Diceros bicornis minor: one gene and its partner. The protein of the gene in region 1 purifies or fractionates together with the protein of each later gene. This does not show direct contact. Links are inferred from orthologs where the notes say so. Each region holds a gene or a part of one and is shown on either strand. Other genes may lie near its edges.

Region 1 (7,122 bases):
TACCGGCAGCCCGGGTTTGGATCCCGGGCGAGCACCAACGCACCGCTTCTCCGGCCATGCTGAAGTGGCGTCCCACATACAGCAACTAGAAGGATGTGCAGCTATGACACACAACTATCTACTGCGGCTTTGGGGAGAAGAGGGGGGAAAAAAAAAGGAGGAGGAGGATTGGCAATAGATGTTAGCTCAGGGCTGATCTTCCTCATTAAAAAAAAAAAAAAAAAAGAATTACTAGGTTAAAAAGAAGAAACTTTTCAAGGTCCTCAGACGCCAAATGCTTTATAAAACACGTGTGTGCATTTCTATTCCCATCAGTGGGGCATACAAGTGTCCACCTTACCACATCCTCACCAGCACTGAGCATTCTCATATTTTAAAATGCTCTATTCTACAGCTCTTTTAAACTTGCATGTACACTGAGAGGCCATAAGATGATAGGAAAGCAGTGATGGAACACTAAAATATCTTCTCTACTCAGGCTTATCCTTGTCACTGAGGCATAGTCTCAAGGATCTGGAAAGACTAAAAGGCAAGGCTTCCTTCCTGAACAGATAAATCTCACCTCTTCACCTTCATCCTCATTGTCATCCTCTGAGTTGGAGTCAGCTCCACAGTCATCTATCATATCAGCGTCGCTGTCCTCGGAGCCCCAGAGGTCCCCCTGGTTCACCACACCATCCTCTTCAGAGTCTTCCTCCTCCTCTTCCTCCTCACTGCTATGGGTTGGTGCTGGGCGCTTCTTGCCTTGAGCAGTATTTAATAAGGACTGGGCTCCCTTCTTACCAGGTGTCTGGACAGCTCTTGCAAAGATCCCTAAAGGTTTGAAGAATTCTGGACTGATGGCAGTCACACACTGATAGAGCCTGTATTTTCTACCCCCAAGAAAGTCCTTTGGCTGTTCCTTTCATTTAGCAGGCCCTTCTCTACCCAGGACCCAGAGGGTTCCTCATGTAGCACCCAGCTCCTATTTTCACTGACCTTTTGGTAGCTTTCCAGGCAATGGTTTGATCCCAGAAGACTTATTCATCTTAGGGACTTCAGCAGAGCCCAACTTCCTCTTGACTGCTCTGAAAAGATACAAGGAGTGAGAAAATGGAACATATCTCCAAGCTCTGCCATTTCTCATGACAGGGAAACATGACAGTCCCCAAACAGCCCTTTCCATCAACATGATCACATGGATTCATGTGGCTTAGGAAGAGCAGCACCAGTTGACTCGATATAAGTCTAGACATCCTCACTCACCTCTTCCGAGCACGACTAGACAGCCTCTTGGAATTTTCATCACCAGCTGTTAAAACATAAAAAAGAGGCAGAACAGGAGGTTACAGGTGAAATGAAAAAGAGCAACAGGAGAGAAAATAAAAGTGGGGAGAAATAAGTACAGTAATTAAAGGGAGTAGACTGCAACTCACTCCACAGTGTTTTACCAGGAGCTGGATAAGAGATGTAAAGGAGATGATCTCCATCTGGTTGTTCACCAACCAAATCCAAATTGGGCCTCCTTCCAGACTACTTTTTTTTTTTTCTTTGACGAAGGCTGGCCCTGAGCTAACATCTATTGCCCATCTTCTTCCTTTTTTCCTTTTTTCTCCCCAAAGCCCCAATAGGTAGTTGTACGTCACAGTTGTACATCCTTCTAGTTGTTCTATGTGGGACTCTGCCTCAGCATGGTTTGATGAGCGGTGCCTAGGTCCATGCCCAGGATCCAAACCGGCGAACCCTGGGCTGCCAAAGCACGGGAACTTAACCGCTTCGCCACCGACCGGCCCCACCTCCACACTTCTGATTGCAATAAATAGCATCATCACCATTCTGATAACACAGACTCAAAATTTATCTTTTCTTCTGCCTTTTCCTTTACTCTCAATTTAATCAGTCACTAGCCACAGTAGATTTTACCTTTATGATTGCTGTTTTTCAAACATTCTCCAAGAAATAAAAGGTTTAAATCTCAGCCCTGTCACTTAATAACTATATGCAGGTCATTTAACCTCTCAACATCCGTTGCCTTAACAGTGCCTCTCCCACAGGAAACTAAGAGAATGAAGTGATATGATGTGTCCAAAGAGTCCGGTATAGTGCCTAGCACAGGTTAGTACTGCAATAAACTGCATCTTTTGTCCAATGCCCAACACAAACTACCTGTCCATGCTTCTCTCTTACCCAGTGTTCCAAGCAGTAGCCTACTCACCATGTGGGAACCAGCTCTGTGCTTTCCCACCTCCATCCCCTCCACAATGCAGCTCACAGCGACTGGCCTGGAGTCCCCTTCCCAACTTCCACTTGCTAAAATGTCAGCCATTTTTCAAAACCTAACTTCATAACAAAATCTTTTTAAATTCTCTAACTGCATGGGATCCCCCTTCCTCTGAACTCCCTCAATGTTAAAGCGGGCCTCTCCTTGCATGGGTTCTTGTGTCCCTGTCACATCTTCCCTAAGTTCTGGCTGATGACAGTGAGTGTTTCATTCACGCCTATTTCCTAATAACTCATACAAACGAAATTCCACTTGAGCAGAAGGTGAACAAAAACTAAAGAACGGACGGGGTTATCATACAGATGAAAAGATGGCACAAAAGCTGGAGAATGGGGAGGAGGCAGGCCTGACCCTTACCTGCAGGCAAGAATCTGGCGAGTTCAGTCTCGGCACCTTTCTGCTTCCGGGCCTTTCGGCCCGGCCCGCGCTTCTCCTTCGTAGGGTCCAACTTGCGCCCCATGGTACTGGGGAAACGAAAAATGGGAGCAGAGTCGCGCGTGTTGGAAAGGGAAAGGCACACCGCAGACTTAGCGCATTACGGTGGGAAAGCGCATCCGGTCAACCAGCCCTCGAGGCCTAACCAAACCCCCTCCACGCGGAGCCCCGGACCCTGCGTCCCTCCCCACGCCCCAGTCCAGGTCAGTGCAGTCACCCTTCCTTCCCCGACTTCCTCCAGAACCACCCGAAGCCTCGGCTCACCCGAAGGCGGGTCCAGGCCCCAGACGCCTCCTGGGTACGCGGGGCAGCACTCCACGTGCACCGCGAGGCTAGCGTTCGGGCGCCGCACTCCACGGAAACGCTTCGCGCAGGCGCGCAGAGCTCGCTTCACTGGTGGCCCCGCCTCTTCCGGCCGCTTCTGGTCGGGCGCGGAACCCGGAACGCGCGCGGGGCTGTCGGCAGCGCGGCCGGGGAAGATTTGGAGACGGACCGCTCCGTTCACAGTCGCAGAGGGCGGCGAAAGGAACCGGGACGGAACCGTTTTGCGCTTCCCTGCTCCTCCCTCAAGGCGTTGGCTTTTCGCCTCACTGCAGATTTCAATCGGAGTAACTGGAACCTGAGAGCCGCCCCTCCCCTCAAACCAAGGCGTGAGATCGGGGCCCTCCTCTTGGCAGTGTCCGCGCTCCGCCCAGTCTCGGAGTCCTGGAATCCCACGCCGCTCTCCCACCCCGATCCCTTCAATTGGGAAGCCCTCTTTGACCCAGACCACCGCTCTGCCCGTCGGGTAGGGTTCCTCTCTGCCTAGGTGCACAGCTGGAGGTCGGAAGACACCTCACATCCTAGTTTCACACAACTAGATAAAACTTCAGCCTTCCTTCAAATAAATACTAACAGTGCTTAGTAGCTGTTAGAAACTGTTCCAAGCACTTTACTGGTTTTATCTTCACAACTCTATGAGGAAGATAGCTTTATTTTATACATGAGAAATCCACAGCCCAGAGTTCACTTCCTCAACGGTACAGAGCCGTTGGCCGGTAGTACAGGGCACGAGCCCGGGTGGTGTGGGAGCCGCTCATTCCCCCAGATGCTGGTCATCCTTGGTCCAGAGCACAGCGGGCACGTGCAGACGTGACACGGTCTCTTGTGGACTATTAGAACACAAGTAGCCCCTGGTTCTCAGCTGCACATTTCCCAGGGCTCCTGTCATGCACACTCATCCACCTGAACCTACACCCACACCGAACCAGAGCACTAAAATACAAGGAAACTTTTATTTTCAGTTTTCATCAAGAAATTTGCTGTGGTTTTTTACGCTTTTGGTTCTTTTCCTTTTTTTTTTTTTTTCACTTTATTTTATTCTAGCTGCTCAGTGGCTGGAGCCGCTGGGTTCCTGGTATTAAAAAGATGCCAACAGAGGTAGCTGTGTCTCGCCCAGGGGCCCGGCCCACTCTGAATACCCCAAAAAAGGAGAAAAGGAAACACAAAGTAAACCAACAAAATAAAACCAAAAGGAGAAAGAAATTCAGATCATTTTCTTCAAGCCTGGCGGGACCCACAACAGTTTGTGTGTAACAGACGTTACAGTAGGGAGAAGCCAGGGCCCAGAAGGCGGCCAGCCCGCCAGCTCCCTGCAGATGGCGCCGGCGCTACTGCTGCATGTCTCTCCAGCAGGAAGGGCACCACTGCCCCTCACTCCCTCCCCTCCCCCAGTGCACTGGGGGCTGTTCCTTTACAACATGGAAGATGGGGCAGGAGGAAGGAGAGGGTCTCTCAGGCCCCCAGGTGAGAAGCTGGGCAAGGGAAAGTGAGGAAGGTCACTGCTCAGCGGTGGAGGTGGTATCATCAGTCTGATCTTCACTGCTGCTGGGCTACCTACAGGAAAAGAGAGCCAAGGGAGTCAGAATGCCAGACCACAGGAATCCACCTGATCCTACGGGAACTCAGTGGTGACACAGCCCCACCTGTCCAGTATGTAAAGCTAGGGACAGACAGCAAAGTAACAGTGGCTCTGCTCGAACAGCTGGCCAGAAGAAAACGGTCCTACCTGCTGTGGAGTAGGTTCAGGTGCTCGGTTTGCCAGGCGGCTAAGAATGTTACGCTCTGACATCTGTAGCCTCACAGCAACTGGGGGAATTCGGGCAATAGTAGCTGGGAGTCGAGTCACATCGGCTTTCATGTCACTCAGCAGTTCTTCTAGCTGTTTCAGAACTGCACAGGAAAAAAAAAAAGTGGTGAGCTGTGGTGGTCAAGACCAAGATCCTTCTTACCAGTGGACCCCTGGCCCCCATCACTTCTCATTGACCAAGGGACTGATGTGCTGGAATGCTCAAGTATTGTCTTTTGTCACTGCGTCACGTGACCTGGCCTCTACCATGCTCAAATTCCTATTCCTCACATTCTAGTTCCAACTGGCCATGCTTCTATGCTTCTTAAAGTCACCTAACCCTCACTGTCCCTTGCTCCCAACTGTCTCTATTTTCTCTACTTCCTGAGACACGCTTATTCCTATTATTTCCTTTTCTATCTTTCTTCTCCACCTTTTCGAGGTGTCTCCCTCTTCCTTTATAACAGTCTTCCTTTCCTCACTTCACCCTCCACCTCTCTCACAATGTTTTAACTTTAATCAGAAAAAAAAATGTTGAAAAGGGTCTAGAATTTGACAGGATCTTAAATCACCTGAAGTTACCTCTGAAGTATCCCAGATAACACTATATTATTCTGCTTTGCTTTCCACCTCCAACAACTTGAATATATTAAGAGTTGAAAGAGGCAAAGAACTACTGTCCTCGATTGCCTCTAAGACATTAGCTTCCCAAGGAGGAAGGCTAAACTCCCAAAGGGGCTCTGAAAAAGGTTTGGAAACAAGAAGCCAATGTGTTGGGGAGGGGTAGAGGAAGAAGGAGGCTGAGTCAGCAGGAGGCAGGGGAGCCACTGGCTACCTTTGTGCAGGACTGCATTGGCTGGCTTGTTTCCTGCCATTGACTCCTTGGACAGGTGCTGATGACTCTCCGCCAAACACTCCACCTCAGCAAAGCGGGTGTTTAGGGCCATGGAAGGGTGAGAGGGGTCCTCTGACATGTTCAGGTAAGCTGCCCGGCGCAGCTGTTCCTCAATCACCAGGGCTTGTTCTAAGAGCTGGACAAGGGATAAAGAGGAAATGGGAGATGAACTGACACTCACTTTGCTTATTTCTGATGGGCCTCTCAGAACCTATAAAGAACCTTACAGATGGCTCCCCCAAACCCAAGCAGTTCAACATTGCATTGCCTTCTTTACTCTCCTTTCAAGGTCTACGTTTTTAAAACTCTTTACCCTGGGCCGGCCCCGTGGCTTAGCTGTTAAGTGCGCACGCTCCGCTACTGGCGGCCCGGGTTCGGATCCCGGGCGCACAGCGATGCACCACTTCTCTGGCCACGCTGAGGCGGCATCCCACATACACCAACTAGAAGGATGTGCAGCTAAGGCATACAACTATCTACTGGGGCTTTGGGGAAACACAAAAAAGGAGGAGGATTGGCAACAGATGTTAGCTGAGAGCCGGTCTTCCTCAGCAAAAAGAGGAGGATTAGCATGGATGTTAGCTCAGGGCTGATCTTCCTCACAAAAACATAAATAAATAAAACTTAAAAAAATAAAACTCTTTACCCTTTATTGATTCACTCATACAAAAATGATAAAAACTCAATTTAGAAAATACAGAATATATAAACAATTAAAATCACAAATTTTACATAATTGAGATCATTCTACAGTAGTCCCCCTCCTTATCCGCGGTTTTGCTTTCCAAAGTTTCAGTTACTCAGAGTCAACTGCGGTCCAAAAATATTAAATGGAAAATTCCAGAAATAAACAATTCACGTTTTAAATTGCACACTGTTCTGAGTAGCATGATGAAATCTTGCACCGTCCCACTCTGTCCGTCCCAGGACGTGAATCATTCCTTTGTCCAGCTTATCCATGCTGTATAGGCTACCTGCCTATTAGTTACTTAGTAGTCATCTCGGTTATCAGATTGACTGTCACAGTATCACAGTGATTGTGTTCAAGTAACCCTTATTTTACTTAATAATGGCCCCACAGCCAACTTTAATATTATTGTTGCTAATCTCTTACTGTGCCTAATTTATAAATTAAACTGGGCCGGCCCCGTGGCTTGGCAGTTAAGTGCGCATGCTCCGCTACTGGCGGCCCAGGTTTGGATCCCGGGCGCACACCGACACACCGCTTCTCCAGCCATGCTGAGGCTGCGTCCCACATACAGCAACTAGAAGGATGTGCAACTATGACATACAACTATCTACTGGGGCTTTGGAGAAAAAGAGGAGGAAGATTGGCAATAGATGTTGGCTCAGAGCCGGTCTTCCTCAGCAAAGAGAGGATTAGCATGGATGTTAGCTCATGGCTGATCTTCCTCACAAAAAAAA
Region 2 (7,555 bases), on another chromosome or scaffold:
AATGAATGTGCTAGAGCTGTATCAATAAAGCTCAGAGCAGACAGTTGAATGAAAAAATTAAGTTTCAGAATAAAATATATAACTAATATAGATTTAAAACAATAATGTACAATGTATATTGATACATGAGTATGTAGTAAAAATTGAAAAACACACACAGCAATGAAAAACACTGAATTCATGAATACTAATTCCCTGGGCATGGGGAGAAGGTGCAGAGGACTGGGGAAGGGTACAAAGGGACCTCAAGTTCACCTATAATCCATTTCTTAAAGAACAAAGATCTGGAGCAAGTTTGAGATGAAGCTGACATCTGATAAAGGTGAACGGCAGATACCTGAACAGTCACTAAATCACTCTCTAGCAGACTTCAGGAGGTTTGAAATATCTCACCCACCTAATAAGAAACCACTACAAATAAGCAAATGGAATAAAAGGGAAGGAATACAAAGAAAATATGTTATTTTCGTTAGGATGGAAGAAATACTAGGGCACTTTAAATTTAAAATTCCCTTTAATGCTGACGTGTTGCTTTGACAACATTTAATACCTGTGGTTTTATAACAACTAGCAGATGATGGACACATACCCTATCCCCTCACATGCCAAATCAAATATAAAATTTAACTTTGATTTGTTATAACTCAGGCAGGAAAATGCGGAAAAACTGTATCAAAAAACCCCCAGAGAGGGGCCGGCCCCGTGGCGTAGAGGTTAAATGCGCGCTCTGCTGCTGGCGGCCCAGGTTTGGATGCCGGGTGTGCACCTCCGCACCGCTTGTCAGGCCATGCTGTGGTGGCGTCCCACATAAAGTGGAGGAAAATAGGCACGGATGTTAGCTTAGGGCTGATCTTCCTCACAAAAACAAAAAAACAAAAAACCCCCAGAGATTCCAACAATGAGAGGTCTATGGTTACAACCAATTAAAGTTTATGTGTGCAGGAAGAAAATAAAGTGGGCCACTCCTCCTTTACTGATACAAACCACATAAACCATTTTTTATCAGGAGATAGAGATAATATAACAATAACATTTATACAGTGTTTACTGTGTGTTATCAGGCATTGCTCTAAGAACCTTACATTCATTACCCCGTGTTTAATCTTTCACTAGATACTCCTAGGAGGTTGGTGCTCTTTTACTCATATTTTACAAATCAGAAAACCGATGCATGCAGAGGTTACATAATTTGTCCAAGGTCGTACAACTAGTAACCTGTAGAGTCAGGCCTCAAACCTAGGTAGTCTGGCTCCAGTGTCCTCATCCTTAACTATTCACTATACAAACTTTTGCTATTACGGGGTGCCTACACCAAAGGGTAATACAAGATGATGTATGAACCGCTCCTCAAACTGAAGTTCATGTACACCTGGCTCAGTAGCCATAAAATAAATATGATTTATTTACTAGGATTGTCAATTTAATTTGAGGATTTGGGGCAATCACTTTTTTTTCTCGAGGAAGATTGGCCCTGAGCTCACATCTGTGCCAATCTTCCTCTATGTTGTATGTGGGTCGCGGCCACTGCATGGCTGACAAATGGTGTAGGTCCGTGCCTGCGATCCAAACCCGAAAACCCAAGCCACTGAAGCAGAGCATGCTGAACTTAACCACTAGGCCATGGGGCCAGCCCCCACGTTTTTTTTTAAATAAAGTAAACATTTACAATAATACTGATTTTGCTTTTGTGGTTGTTTCAGGTTCTAAACCTCATCCACCTCCCTTTTCTGGAGCAAAGTCTGATAAACAATAATATGTGGACATGCTCTCAACTATCAAGGATGACATCCTTTTAAAGAAACAAACAGACAATCTAAATTCAACACAAAAATCTTACCCTTTTACTTCTGGACAGTCTAAGTCTTGTAACAGTGCCAAACTGCGAGAAATATGCTCGGATCTGGGTTTCGTAAAGCGCTGGAGGTAGGTGGCCCACATAGATTACTCCAGGAGTGAGTTTTTTTTTCTCCTGTCGCTGAAAACATAAAAAACAGATAATTACTTTTTCAATTAAAAAAAATCACATTGCAACAAAACTTGCAAACCTCCCTAACTCTCAAGAGGAGACCAAGAGCCTAGCCACTATTTCCACTTAGCAGAACAGTAACTAAAGAGTTAGCTGTTTAATGTCCATCTCCCCACGAGGACAATCATCACAGCGGATTGTCTTCTCAGCCTGTGTCCCAGCACGCCGCACAATGTTCATGCTCGATAACTATACGTTGAATCAACAAGTCTTTGAACACACTATTTTAAATCTTCAGGCCGGAGAACTCCACATAAAAGTACCCTTCACCTCTGTATGCGGATCGCTGTTGACTCGCACCCACCTAACCAAACAATTTCGAAACTTCCGTAACCCTTCACAACGCCAACGAACTTTTCAGCGTCTGTCATCATGTCCTTGCCTTCTATTACAACTTTTAAGTTTTCAAACGTGTATTTCCTGCTAAAAATCAAGACAACTATAACTTGACGTCAGGGGCCCTAATCAGCAAACGGAACTTGGCAAATACTGTCTCCAAACTACCAACCAGACATATGAACTCTCTGAATTCGGGGGCCAGGCGGACGCGTGGGAGCTCTAATCCGTGGACCGAGAGGGCCCGTCCCAGCTGGCTCCTGCTCCTCTCGTCCCCCCACACCTCACCCTTAGTCCACGGGAGGACTCTAAGACCTCCGCGGCCACAGCCCACCCCCATTTCCCAGTCAGCGCACACTCCGTCTCGGGGGCTCGGCCTACAAACTCGCGAGGTCGGCGCTCACCCGAGGCCATCCCGGGGGCAGCAGGGCGCGGCACCGGGCCCGCGCGTCCCCGCGGCCCAGACCCGGCCCGCCGCCTCCCCTCGCAGCCCGGCCGTGGCGGCCGCTCACCTGGGTGGCGCGCCGGCGAACCTGCGCCACCTCCTTCTGAAACTTGGCGTCCTCCTGTGGGTTCAGGGACAGGAGAGTCTTGGCGGGGCCCGCAAAGACCGCCATGCTGCAAGTCCCCAAGACGACCAGCTCCACGCGGCGCGTCCGGAAATGCCGAGCCCTGAGTTCCTCCGAAGCGGAAGTGAGGCGGGACGTGCGCGGCGACGCGCGGGGCGCGGGGGCGGGGCTGGGCGAGTTCGGGCGCCCCCTGCGGGCCGGGTGCCCTTTGGCCTCGCTCTCGCGCTGACCGCCTGCCTAAAATGGCAGACGGTAGTTTGTTCACGCTTGCTTTGCGGCCAGCCAATTTCAAAGGGGGTTTAAAAATAAATCCCAAACAATATCCGTGCTTTTGAGGTCTTGCTAACCATTCTTTAATTCTTTTTTATTTCCTTTTTTCACTCGCTCGTTTCTGAGCCTACTGTGTGTCCTGCTGCTGCTGCCCTTAGGTAACATACAGATTGGGTGGGTGGGGGGGGATGGGGAGTGGGTGGATAAAGGACGTTTGAGGGTGGGATTGGTGTAATGGGAGACATAAGAGCCCCGTGGAGGGGGGAAGCACACTGGTGACCAATGAGGGCCTCCTGGAGGAGGTGGCATTTGAACTGAGACCTGAAGGCTGGAAGGAGCAGCCTGTGCAGACCTGGAAGCCCACCGTGCAGGCAAGAGGGACAGCGTGTACAGTGTCCTTACGGCTGGAAAGAAGGAGTCGGCCACTGTGGTTGGAGCTCAGCGTGTGAGGGAGAGGGGCAAGGGGGCAGGCTGGAGCTCCAGGGCTCTGTGTCAAGGTTTAAAGCTTGGGTTTTATTGTAAATGCAGGGGGTGTGAGGGTTTTAAGCAAGGCTGTGGCTGTACCTTTCAACTACTACTCTAGTAAGGGTGGAAGGTGGATAGCAGAGGAAGCGGGGGTGGCGTGGGGTGGGGTGGGGACGAGGCTAGAGCAATAGTCAAAGCAGAGCTGCTCTGGGGGATGGTGGTGGCAGGTGTTCTGGAACCAATGAGGGCTGAGTTTGGCTGGTGCCCAGGGGTACCTGTGGGAAGAGTGGATGGTAACTGTAGGGTAGAGTGGCGTGGGAGCGATTGTACAGTGAGGGCCAGCGTGCTTCCTCTGGGAGCCACTTGCCTGCCTTTGCGTCCCTCACCCCAGTCACACCCCAGCTCAGCTCAACTGTCACCTGTCAGGGAAGCCCTCTGCGACCCTGTTGCCGAGGTCACCTCCTCCTATTAAATACTCTCTTACAATGGCGTTTTCATGAACAAGCTGGATTTTCAGGAGAGTGCAAGCAGAGAGCAATTTTATTCTTTCTCAGGACTGCTTCTTTTCATGGACTTGTTCCTTCTCCCCCCTGGACGAAATCTTGGGGAGAGCTCCTCAGATATCAGTGTATAGAAATGTTTTCAGGGTGTTCAAAATCTGACAGCAAGTGTCTCCTCTCCCCACACTCGGACCTGTCTCAGGTGAGAAATCTCTCAAGGAGTCACAGTTGACATTGTCTCTCTGGCTTCACCTTGTCCCCTGCACCCCAGTTTCTTTTTTGGCTTCTCCATGATTGAGATGGGGAGAGCGCAAGGAAGCGGCAGGAAGGGGCTCCTTGACTGGCAGGTGCCATGTGGTTGGGGAGCTTCAGGTGGGGCGCATCCTTGGTTGCTGACTCACTCTTTCCAGGCATACTTTTGAGGTGTTCCCTCGCCTGGCTGCTCATGGCTTAGCCTGCCTGCCTGTGGTACCACCTGCCTGCTTAGGTCAGCTGTGTGTCCAGGTGCTCCTATTGGAAGGGCCTTTCTAAGCTGACCCCATCCTGATCCTTTAGTAAGGGCCACATCTTTTGTCCTCTCTGTTGTAGGAGATGCTTTTTCCTCTTTGCATTGCTGTAGGGTGGGCCTCCTGGCTGGTCAAAGTTAGATGTTTGATTTATGAGTCACTTATGGGTGCCTGTATCCCCCAAATTCCAGAGGACACAGAACAAGCTGTTGGTTCCCTAAAGGCCCCTCCCTTGAGTGTGTGTGTGTGAACACTCCCCTCTTTCCCAAGGATGAAACTTGACATATCTCATAGCTTCTAAGGGGAAGAGAGAGGTAGGGAGGAGCAGAGAAGGGAAGACAGCAAAGTGACAGTTCTCTTCTGGGAGATCCTCTTTCCAGTTTTTGCAACCACCTCCATGAATTCCTGGCCTCCCGTTACATCCCCCAGGTGGGTGGTGACCCAAGGTTTCTCAAAACTGAATGAGAGGCCAGCCGCAGTGGCCTAGAGGTTAAGTTTTGTGTGCTGTGCTTCGGCAGCCCAGGTTTGGTTCCCAGGCGCAGACCTACACCACTCGTCTGTCAAGGGCCTTGCTGTGGTGTTGGCTCACATACAAAAAGAGGAAGATTGGCAACAGATGTTAGCTCAGGGTGAATCTTCCTCAGCAAAACAAAAGAAAACAAAACAATGAGCATGTAGATTTCCTGGGGGTCTTGTTACATGGCCAGTTCTGATTCCTAGCTCTGGGGTGGGGCCCCAGGTTCTGTGTTTCTAACAAGCTCCCCGGTGAGGCTGATGCTCCGTGGACCAAACTTGGAGTAGTAGTAGGAGGGATTCGGGCAATTGATCACTGTGCTGGGTTGAATTGTGTTCCCCCAAAAGAGATGTTCAAGTCTTAATCCCGGTATATGTGATGGAAATAGGGTCTTTGCAGATGTAATCAAGTTAAGGCGAGGTCATGCTGGAGTAGGGTGGGCCCTAATCCAATAACTAGTGTCCTTATAAAAACAAGGAAATTTGGATACACACACACACACACAGACACACACACACGGAGAACACCACAGTGATGATGAAGGCAGAGATGGGAGAGAGGCAGTTGCAAGCTAAGAAACGCCAAGGATTGCTGACAACCATTGGAAGCTGGGAAGAGGTAGAGAAGGATTCTTCCCTAGAGCCTTTGGAGAGAAAATCGTCCTGCCAACATCTTGGGTTTGGATTTCTAGTCTCCAGAACTGTGAGAATAAGTTTCTGTTGTTTTAAGCCCCCCAGTTTTGGTGATTTGTAATGGCAGCCCTAGGAAATGAATACAGCACCATGGTGGGTGCCGCCTGAAGGGGTTTTCTGAGGCAGACACTGGTCCTGGGCCTGTCTTGGCTGTTGGGAGCTACCCATGAAGGCCAGGTGCCAGAGGAGCTCCTGGATGTTCCCAGAAGGATGCCGGGCCACCCTCTCCTTGGCCCTTCACCAGACCATAGAAGTCAGCCCTTAACTGGGGACGGAGTCTCAGGCCCCGAATCCTCACCGCAGCCCAGACCGGACCTGCTTTCATTTCCCCTTTGAGCCTTGGCCAGTCACTCTCAGTTAACAGTGATTTCCACTGACGTTCGCTGTGGCCCTGCTGGGTAACATCTCATTCTGCCACCCAGGGCCCAAGGGTCACTCTGGGACCTAGGTAGGTGATCACAGGAGTTGATGTGGTATCCTGGTCAGAGAGCCCAGAAACCCGTTACCGCCCTGGGATGTGCCTGGGGGAGATGGCCCTCTCTCCAGGAGGGCCTCAGTCTCCTCATCCGTGAAGAAGGGTTTGGCTGGGACGGTTGTTAAGGTCTCCCTGGGGGAGTCTTCACTCCTTAGTGGCAGCAGCAACACTACTAATGCTCAGACTGGCAGCTTGCCTTCTTCATGCCAGGTGACAGGCTGGGGCTGTGTGTGTTTGTCCTTCCTTATCTTTTCTCTTCCTCCTTCTTCCTTCTTCCCTCCCTTCCTTCTCTTCTTCCCTCCCTCCCCCCCCCCTTTCTCTTTTTGCATGGAGGTGGGGAGGCTACTGACACCTTGGGAGGGACTGTTCTTCACTGAGCTGGACTGTCCCATACATACCACCCTGGTACCCTGTCCCCTGGCACTCAATGCCAGTGGCACCCCAGTCATTGTAACAACCAGAATGGCTCCAGGCACTGCCACACACCCCTGAGTGGACTATTAAATGTGCTTACTGCAGGACTTTCCCTTCCTTTTCCCCCACTGACCTCCTATGCCACCCCTCTGCTGGGATGGAATGGTCACGTGTCTTTCCTGTGATGCCACCATCACCGCCTATGGGCTGGAACACCTGCTGGGGGCCCAGCATGGTGAGGGCTGGTGGCTGGGATATGAGGTGGGGCGGGCAGCAGAGCTGGGCAAGCAGCAGGGTGAGGCAGGGTGTGCTGTGTCCAGGGGGCTGGGCCTTAGGAGGGAGGGCTCTGTGGGGTGGGGCTGAGGGCTGGCAGGAGAAGGGACACACGTGGGCCCGGCCCACCTTCCCCCTCCCGTGTTTTCCTCTCTGCCTGGTCCCTGTGTGGTCATCCAACGTGCCACCCTGGATAGTGGGCCCAGCCATCAGAGTCAGCCTGCTCGGCCCTGCCCAGCTGCCCCTTGCTCAGATTTTGGAGATGGGCCTGAAACGGGCAATTCCAGGGGAAGAAGTGGGGAGAAACTCAGTGCAGCCTCAATAAAATGTCACCTGACAAACTAAAATTCAGTCTGCAGACCATTCAGGGCCGTGTGTCCTGAAGCCACGAGAAAGATTTTCTTCCTTTGTCCTTGTGAATGACTGTCACCTTTGCCTACATCCTGCTCTGTGCCAGGTTAACATCATGCACAGCCCCAAGTCCAGACCCCAAGTGTGACCTGAGTGAAGCTGGG

What was found. Proteins that work in one complex are often made in the same cells at the same time.
Region 2: the proteins of NOP2 (region 1) and NIFK fractionate together in Homo sapiens (co-fractionation; 3 studies listed by BioGRID, with this or other methods). This does not show direct contact. The link is inferred for Diceros bicornis minor from reciprocal best matches to the Homo sapiens genes NOP2 and NIFK.

Annotation. Positions count from the first base shown.
Region 1 is NC_080756.1:55,119,602-55,126,723, reverse strand, and holds the start of NOP2 (probable 28S rRNA (cytosine(4447)-C(5))-methyltransferase), read right to left. Parts: upstream 3,066-7,122; 5' UTR 2,960-3,065; intron 2,725-2,959; 5' UTR 2,721-2,724; coding exon 2,618-2,720; intron 1,292-2,617; coding exon 1,246-1,291; intron 1,068-1,245; coding exon 979-1,067; intron 814-978; coding exon 563-813; intron 1-562. Other genes in the region: CHD4 (chromodomain-helicase-DNA-binding protein 4), read right to left, coding at 4,553-4,570, 4,743-4,906, 5,638-5,833. UniProt on the Homo sapiens protein: S-adenosyl-L-methionine-dependent methyltransferase that specifically methylates the C(5) position of cytosine 4447 in 28S rRNA. Required for efficient rRNA processing and 60S ribosomal subunit biogenesis.
Region 2 is NC_080749.1:11,042,531-11,050,085, reverse strand, and holds the start of NIFK (MKI67 FHA domain-interacting nucleolar phosphoprotein), read right to left. Parts: upstream 3,024-7,555; 5' UTR 2,980-3,023; coding exon 2,875-2,979; intron 1,976-2,874; coding exon 1,838-1,975; intron 1-1,837.